Coturnix japonica: one gene and its partner. The protein of the gene in region 2 interacts with the protein of the main gene of each other region in a biochemical or structural test. Links are inferred from orthologs where the notes say so. Each region holds a gene or a part of one and is shown on either strand. Other genes may lie near its edges.

The links.
Region 1: of the proteins of USPL1 (region 2) and RANGAP1, one has a biochemical effect on the other in vitro, tested with the Homo sapiens proteins (2 studies listed by BioGRID). The link is inferred for Coturnix japonica from reciprocal best matches to the Homo sapiens genes USPL1 and RANGAP1.

The regions. Positions count from the first base shown.
Region 1 is NC_029516.1:45,361,348-45,365,933, reverse strand, and holds the start of RANGAP1 (ran GTPase-activating protein 1), read right to left. Parts: upstream 3,011-4,586; 5' UTR 2,989-3,010; coding exon 2,877-2,988; intron 2,229-2,876; coding exon 2,101-2,228; intron 1,211-2,100; coding exon 1,151-1,210; intron 534-1,150; coding exon 354-533; intron 1-353. UniProt on the Homo sapiens protein: GTPase activator for RAN. Converts cytoplasmic GTP-bound RAN to GDP-bound RAN, which is essential for RAN-mediated nuclear import and export. Mediates dissociation of cargo from nuclear export complexes containing XPO1, RAN and RANBP2 after nuclear export.
Region 2 is NC_029516.1:156,630,740-156,635,131, reverse strand, and holds the start of USPL1 (SUMO-specific isopeptidase USPL1), read left to right. Parts: upstream 1-1,327; 5' UTR 1,328-1,429; intron 1,430-2,169; exon of another isoform or gene 2,170-4,392. UniProt on the Homo sapiens protein: SUMO-specific isopeptidase involved in protein desumoylation. Specifically binds SUMO proteins with a higher affinity for SUMO2 and SUMO3 which it cleaves more efficiently. Also able to process full-length SUMO proteins to their mature forms.

The DNA of each region.
Region 1 (4,586 bases), about 110 Mb from region 2:
GGAGAAAGTGGTTGTAAAGACGGCAGTGTCAGACAAATGTGCACACAATGATGCAGAGAAAATTCCATTTAAAAACACACATACAAAAAAAACCATACACTTTTTACTGTGCAGGTTGTCAAACACTGGGGTAGATTATCCATAGAGCATGTGAAGTCTTCATCTTTTGAGATACTCAAAACCTGACTAGATACAGCTCTGAGCAACCTGGTCTGGTTGCTTTGAGCAGGAAAGTTGGGCTAGATGACCACCAAAGACCCCTTCCAACCCCAGTCATTCTGTGATTCTGTGTAGGGAAGTCTGAAATCAAGTACTGGCTCTGATCTCATCCCCAACAAGGAGATCACCTTTACCTTGCCACCACCAATGCCCATGCCACAGTTATTGAGCTTGAGTTCCTGCAGGGTGTAACAGGCAGGGCTCTTCAGCAACGCCTCAAAGCCACGCACGCCATCTGGCCCAAAGGCATTGTCACTCAGGTCCAGCTCCACCAGCTGGGCTCCAGCAGTGATGAGTGCATCCCCCAAAGAGATCTGCAGGGAAACAGGTGACAGGGGTGAGGGCAAGGAGTGGTCTGACTGTTACTGACAGTGATGCTGCAGAAAAATTCCATTTTGAGGATGCAAAGTTGCACGGAGACATATAACTTCATAGCTAAAGCCAGAGCAGGAGTTATGCAAATCAAGCTAAAGATAACTGCAAGGAAGTCACCAAGAACTATCCCATCTTATTTGGTTAAACATACATCTTTTCAACTTGTGTTTCCTCTCTACACTGTTCAAAGAAATATTTTGTGAATTTCTTCCAGTTTAACATGTTCTTGCTCAAGGGGGAGCCCTGCAGTGCTATTGGAAGAAAAAGCCATATGCTTTTGTTTGAAAGCTCAGTTCCCATACTACCTTTTGGATCATGGAGATGTCTTCCCAAGGGACAAGCTTCTTCACTAATACAGAACTGCATTTGGCCTTTTATCAACACTTCTCCAGCTCATACAGAAGGAGCTAAAAACACATTACTTATTCTGAGACACTTAGTGTTAACAGTATAGAGAAAAACTCACTGAGTCTCAGAAATACACTCCCACAAAAAGTATGACAGGTGAGAAAATAAGTTATATTAGTTGGAAGTCTCAGATCAAATTTTTACTTACCAAAGCAGGAGGGATCTCAGATCTTAGCCTCCCAGTAAACATGTCACTCCAATGACACCTCTAAAATAAGAAACATGCAGATACGAGCCATGAAAAATATTTAGGACACAGTTGTACAGAAATTTACACATACAAGATGCATTACATTAGTATGGACAGCTTAATATAGTCTGCTGTGGCCTCTCCATTTGATTGTGCTAAGGAACTGTGACAACTAATACTACAGCTGCTCTCTTGGAAGGATGCTAAGCCACTGAAATGCATATTGTAAATAGCAGTATATAAGAATTGTTGCTTGAGCTGGAATTCTTTTCTGCTGAGAAAACTACCAACAGAAAAAACAGTAGGAAACTGAAGGACAGGAACATATATTTTACTAAGGTATGGAGCTCAACGATCTGAATTGACTTGAAAAGCCTCAAGTGGGTGGATCAATGTTTCATATTCCTCTCTTGCAAAGAGCAGTGCTTCTAGAAGCACAGCATCCTTCTAACATTAGGCTAGAAGAGAACTAGGGAAACATGGCTTGGACACAGAAAAACCTTCTGGCACATATCCTCCATCATTTCCTTTATTATTCAGGTACTGTATGAAACATCACTTGCAGAAGATCTGATCATTCTTCAGCTTTGCCATTAAAACTTGTTTTGTGGCCACAGGTCTTTGTCTATAGATGTTGCTTACACAGAGATGCTCTTTCTTGCACAGTCTCCCAGCTTTAAGACTGGAAGCCTTTTGAACAGGAACGGTTAAGTATACAGGAAGTGCTCCTCCCACTGTCTAAAAGCCTCCAAGTTCTGCTATATTTTCATATGGTTATTCTTACCACTGGAAGAACAAAGTAAGCTTTGGGGCTAACTCAAGGCAGGTTCCAGAAAGAAGAGCACAGACAGGCCTTCAGTGTTTCTGCAAAACTTTTTCTGCCCCCACCATCTGCTTGAAGGTCTCACCTTGAGCTCTGGCTTCTTCTCCAAGGCTTTGGCAATAACCTTTGCTGCCTCCACACCCACGGTGTTGCCTTCCAGACGCAATGCTTCCAGGCCATCAAATTCCTCAATTTGTTTGATCACTTCTTCAGCTGGAAAAAAATACAGTCTTGTTGGGACTTGTTACTACCATCTTAGATATCACAGTAACACACTGAGAAAGAAGTATTTGCTACACTCTACAGTTAGCCAAAACATCTGAGTAACACTATCTGAGACAATCCTGAAACAGCAATGGAGAACACAGCTACAGTGTCAGATCACTGGAGAGAATGCTCTCCATTCATCATCCTCTCTCTTCTTTCATGACTTACTTCTATTATTACCTTGACAAATATGAGGATGACTATATAAGTTTGATTCACATAGTTTAGGAATGCAGGCATCAACAAAGACAAAAAGGCCTAAAATATGATGGCAACGGGCACCACATCAAGAGGAATAAGTTCCCACTGACTGGCATAAATAGATGCCCATTTACTAAACGTGGCAGAGTGGAACAATTGTACTCTGGAATACTCTTATTCAAGGCAAAGGTGCAGGCTGCAGGCTCTCTCCTGTCACTGACACACCCAGACTCTTTCCTAAAATTTCAGTGGTTTTGCACTATTAATAAGGCATATAAAAAGCATCACTACAGTCAGTAAAAGAGGTAGACAGTATACCACATTATATCCCTGAAAAACATGCTGTTTTTTCACATGGCAGAAATGTTGATCTAAATGTATATTTTCTCTTACCATCTTCAGCCGTGTTGAGTTTAAGGCCCTGGCCTTTGAAGCTCAACTGTCCTCCACCCACTTTGGTTTTGGCAAGTGATTCTGCAAGCTTAGCAATGTCTTCCGATGCCATTTTTCTGCTTTCCCAGTGTTAAGAGCTGTCAATTAAAACAAATGGTCACCATCAAAAAGACGAACTATAATACTTAATCTGCATTAGTAATCATCTTTATAATCACCGTGTGCAGGTATTATTTCTTGAGGTACCTAATTGAGTATTCAGTGTCATTACTGTTCTCCCCATAGCTCACTTACCACAACCAAGCTAGATTAGCATTTCAAAGCCAGACAGTGTTGGTTCTTCCAGTACTGAAGTGACTTGGGTTTTGATGAAGTTGTTACACTTCCCAAATAACCAATAGCTAAAGCTACTGGAAAAGGCCACATTAAGATGTTAGTCTTGGGCACAACACTTCTACAATTAAGATGTAGAAGTGTCCCCTACCCCCACCCCTTAGTAATACATGCTGCACTGTTTTTCTCCTGTTCTCCAAACCCAGCCAGAACAAACATAACTGTTTTTCCTTTTCAGCGATATCCCCAATAGTGCCTAAGTCAGCGGAGTTCCAGAACCACAGAGTTGCTGAGAAATCATGTGTGTTGTATGTAGCTTGCTCTGAAAGTAAGGCCTCCTTTTTATTTCTATGGACACTACAACAGATACAAAGAACACAATAACTCCATTTGACAGAGGAAATTCTCAGCTACAAAACACTGTTTTTCAACAAAAGCATCATTAGCTACACATTTTCACCAGTGATGAACTAGAGCCTACATGCCACACCCAGAAAATCAGCACCAGTGGAGATCACAGAATCACAGAATGACCCGGGTTGGAAGGGACCTCAAGGATCATGTAGTTCCAACCCCCCTGCCTGGCAGGGCCACCAAACATACACCTTTACTAGATCAGGTTGCCCAGGGCCCCGTCCAACCTGGTCTTGAACACCTCCAAGGACGGGGCATCCACAACCTCCCTGGGCAGCCTGTTCCAGGGCCTAACCACTCTCCTAGTAAAGAACTTTCCCCTAACATCCAACCTAAATCTTCCCTCTTTCAACTTAAAACCATTTCCCCGTGTCCTGCCATTGTCAGCCCTTTCGAAGAGTTTACTCCCCTCCTGGGAGTAAGTTCCCTTCAGGTATTGAAAGGCTGCAATGAGGTCACCCTGCAACCTTCTCCAGGCTGAACAAACCCAACTCCCTCAGCCTGTCCTCATAGGGGAGGTGCTCCAGCCCCCTGATCATCTTCGTGGCCCTCCTCTGGACCCTTTCCAAAATCTCCATGTCTTTTTTGTACTGAGGGCTCCACACCTGGACACAGTACTCCAGATGGGGCCTCACAAGAGCAGAGTAGAGAGGGACAATCACCTCCCTTTCCCTGCTGACCACCCCTCTCCTGATGGAGCCCAGGATCCCATTTGCTTTCCAGGCTGCCAGAGCGCACTGCTGGCTCATGTTGAGTCTCTCGTCCATCAGGACCCCCAGGTCCTTCTCTGCCGAGCTGCTCTCAAGGACCACTCCTCCCAGCCTGTACAGGTGCCTGGGGTTCTTCCAGCCCAAGTGCAAAACCTTGCACTTTGCCGTGTTGAACCTCATTAGGTTCACCCGAGCCCAGCTTTCCAGCCTGTCAAGGTCCCTCTGAATGGCATCCGTTCCCTCCACCGTATCG
Region 2 (4,392 bases):
AAGAGAGCAGTACAAACAAACCCTGAAAAACAAAACCTTTCAAGCAGCAGCTTTCAGTTGGTATCTCCCACTCTCCATCCAGTTTCTCAGGGAACCATCAGCCTCGCAGTGACAGTCTGGTTAGAAGCACGCAGCCAACGGGTACGTCATTTGCATGTGAAAATATTTTTAGAAGACACACATGAACGGCACATGTTCTCAGCCTGAGAGCAATCTGCCACCTATACACCCAGAATGTTATACACCCAAAGTTCAGAGTTAATTTACAGACAGTTATTCTATTTGTTCTTTTGAAATCACAAAATATCAGATCTATATCTGTGTATATCAGATCTTACACAGCATGCTAAACTGTATCTGAAATTTCTATTCTTCCTGTGTTAACTAGAGACAGTTGAAGAAGGTGAAGATGGAAATGAATAAAACCAGAAATAAGCCACATGCTCATTGCGCATTGTTAGTTAATTAAAACTAAAGCAAATTCAGACAGACACGACATGGAAACAATATCCGAATAAACAGCAAATCCAACTAGATCTCAGTCATTCCCAGTCCACATCTGGAACATCCAAACTGATTCTGGTGGTTCTGGAGCTTGCATCACACAGTAACTATTACTTCAGAGCTGCTTTGTTCAGGTCGAGCAAAATTATATTGCATTGCAAACTGAAAATCTCTACTTCTTCCCTCTGCCAACACTCAAACTCTTCCCCACACATATCACAGAATCACACATATCACAGAATGACCCGGGTTGGAAGGGACCTCAAGGATCATGTAGTTCCAACCCCCCTGCCTGGCAGGGCCACCAAACATACACATTTACTAGATCAGGTTGCCCAGGGCCCCGTCCAACCTGGCCTTGAACACCTCCAAGGACGGGGCATCCACAACCTCCCTGGGCAGCCTGTTCCAGGGCCTAACCACTCTTCTAGTTAAGAACTTCCCCCTAACATCCAACCTAAATCTTCCCTCTTTCAACTTAAAACCATTTCCCCTTGTCCTGTTGTCCTTCCCAACATATGGGAAATCCCCTCGTTATACGAACAAACTCAGCTATGAAGCTCTTTCAAAGTCAATCCAGACTAACAAGTGGGGGAGGAAAAAGTCACCTTAATCCTGAAGCACACACACAAGCCACGAGCTTTAACTAGATGATGCTGAATGCAATCACAGGTGAGGGCCACCCCGACCAGAGCTCTGCGCTACCCAAGACACAAGAGCCGCTCCAAACACAACCGCCCGGCACCAAGCGCTGTGAGGCGGCAGCGCCACCGCTGCCAGCCCCGCCCACCGCGAAGAGAAGGAGGAGAAAGAAGGGGAGGAAGGGGAAGAAGGGGCAGGAGGGAAGCGGGGAGGAGAGCTGCCTCCGCCGGGAGCGGCATGGCGGACGGAAGAGGTGGAACGTCAGCGCCGCAGGAGGCGGTCGGTGAGTAGCGGAGTGCTGCGGGTTCCGTGCGCCGGGATAGCGGGCAGATGGCGGCTCTGAGCGTTCCTAAATGCCGACTATTTCATGTCAGGAGCTGCGTGCTGCTTTGTTTGGGTGATGCTGGGTGGGACGCCTACGCAGCGAGACGGCAGTGAGTGCACGTGTGTCTGTAGGCGCAGGTTTCCCAGGTTGATGTGATAATTAACGGTATATATTCTTTCTCCTGCAGCCCTCACGTAGTGCGTGGATCGCTCTCGATGTGGACTGACCAGGCCAGGCCTCCCCGAGGCGGCCGAGCACCCTCGGGTGCTGAGGATAGGCCGTGCCCCCTTAGGTCGTGTTTGTACCTAAATCGACTCCTCCTAGGAGGGCTCAGTGATGAGTCAGTTACACTTCAGCCCCTCTTTGCACCCCATTAAAGCGTTCAGTGGGAGAAATCTGGTTGGAGGAGAAACTTCTAGAGCAGCACAGCCATCACAGCGCGGGCTGCTTTATCTTGTGACATCAGGGAGCATATAAACAAGAGTGGGAATGGCTGTGGGTGGGTAGTGACAGGACAAGGGGAAATGATTTTAAACTGAGGCAGGGGAGGTTCGGGTTAGATATTAGGAGGAAATTGTTCACACAGAGGGTGGTGATGCACTGGAACAGGTTGCCCAAGGAGGCTGTGGATGCCCCATCCCTGGAGGCATTCAAGGCCAGGCTGGATGTGGCTCTGGGCAGCCTGGTCTGGTGGTTGGTGACCCTGCACATAGCAGGGGATTGAAACTGGATTCACTGCGGTTCTTTTCAACCCAGGCTGTTCTGATTCTATGATCAGTTTTTATCTTCCTTCAGCCTGCGTTAGGCTTTTCTGCAGGAAAGTGGTGCCTGTGTCCCCACACACAGCCTGTGTGACATCAGCATGTCCTGTTGGTACTGTGCTTTGTTACAGTTGTGATGTGAATATTCATAGTTGTCGTCTCAGGTAAAGAAAGATGACTTGTGTAACAAACACATCTAACACTGCAGGGCTTTTTTTTTCCCCCGGACTTCAGTTTATTTTCCTCCTCTTTCTTCTTTACCTTCTTGATGTAGGAGAGAAGTCAGTGGCTTACAGGAGCTTCATTTTAAGTGTCCCTTTAACCTTTAAGCACTGAAATTTGCTCCTGATATCATCACTGCTCTGTCACCTGCAGTTTGTAACTGCTTTTTGGTTTTGTTGTACTGTTTCCCCAGATACTGCTCCTACTTTCAAGGTTTCTTTTGCTGTAGAAATCCTTGACCTACCTTTTCCATGTTCTCTTTTTTCTGCCCTGTTACCTCCACAGCTTACCAGATCTTATAGACCAGTCTGACACTCTAGAACAGCAGGAGAAACTCCTGTGTTTTGCTGGATTTCCAGCTGTTTTGTGCTCAGTTAGCTTGTGGGAAGGCTGATGAGAGGGTGAGCTGACAGAGAACGTGGCAGAGGGGAAAAGCTGAGAAAAGAGAGATATCCCTATAGACAACACTGAGCCATGAGATCAACTTAGCTGTCCAAGGAGCCATAACATTGCCTGATAATTGCACCACGGCCACAGCACAGTTTGCATTACATTTCTGAAGTACCCAGGCAGTTACAATACAGACAGGCTGCTTGGTACTGGTCTGCACATCTATGACCAGCAGGCCAATGTTCTCTACTCTTTTTTCTTTGCGTGTGTCTGAAATAAAAGGTCAATTAATAACTTTGTTATTAGTCTTTATTCTGTTCATCAGTGCAGTCAATGGCATGGGCTCTGGTAGCATAGTACTGCTGCTGGGTGGTGATACCTGTGGGGAGCATTGTATGTCTCAAAGCAGTACTGCTCCTTTAAAAAAGGAGAGCAGAAGTAACAGGGAACATAAAGAGAATAACCAGGGGAAAAAAACATGCATTCTTTTTGAGAAGAATGGCAAAATAAACAGTGATTTGCAAAGAAGCAAATATTGTTTATCAAAACAAGGCATTCTTAAAAAGGAATTATCTTTAGTTAGTGTTGCAAACCTTTTTGAGTGTATGCAGATGATTTGTACTTACATGGTAAGAAACTGCCTGGAGTTCCAGGTGTGTGATCTATGTATTTCATTTAGTCTTCAGGCAAAGTGTTTGAATAAAAGCCCTCTGAACAAGCTAGAGATGTTTTCTCATTAACGATGGTATGGAATGTACAGTTAGCATCTATTTGAGTGTGTTTGACACAAGCACAACTTCATTTGTTGTAGAAAGAAATCATGTTCCCATCTGGAATAAGTATATGGTAATAGAGAATTGAGAGACTGAGGTAGTGCTATTGCTGCTGAGTGGGAAAAGGATTGGAGTGCTTGGCTTTCATTTATAGTCCATTAAACCTGTGCACTTAAAGCCTGATCAGTTACTGTTTGCCTGCAGTGAGCCTGGGATCCCATTGTTTGTAGACCTTCAAGCCCTACTTGAAAACTAACCATGATCTCTTAAGGCATGTCTGGGTTGTTGCTTCTGTCCTCACCTTTTACTGTACCCTCTGGTTTTATAAATTATGTTATACCATCTCTGCATGCTGCTGGACACATTGCAGGTGTCAGTAGGACATGCCATCTTCTCATTTTGAACCCTACAGGTGGTCGTAGAGGATTGATTTGAAATGAGTTGTTACATTTTATAGACCTCACTTTTTTTGTTGTTACTAACAGTATTGACCTATAGCATCCTGTCCTGTTCTGTAGAGTCTCTCCTTGCCCGCTGTTAGGGGTGGTTTGGAATCAAACTGGTATTTACAGCTATCCAAGACTATCTTTTTTCAAAGGAACTGTAATCTGAGATGGTTCTGTAGTGTGAGAAAGAGCTGAAGGGGCACCGTGCTGTCAGACAGAGTATTGGTCAGTAGAAATAAGGAAGAAGAAATTATGGCTCAAAGGAAGGCAGTAACCTTGATGACTTTGCTGTTCAACTTATCTCTCTTCCTCCTGACTCTTAAAGTGCG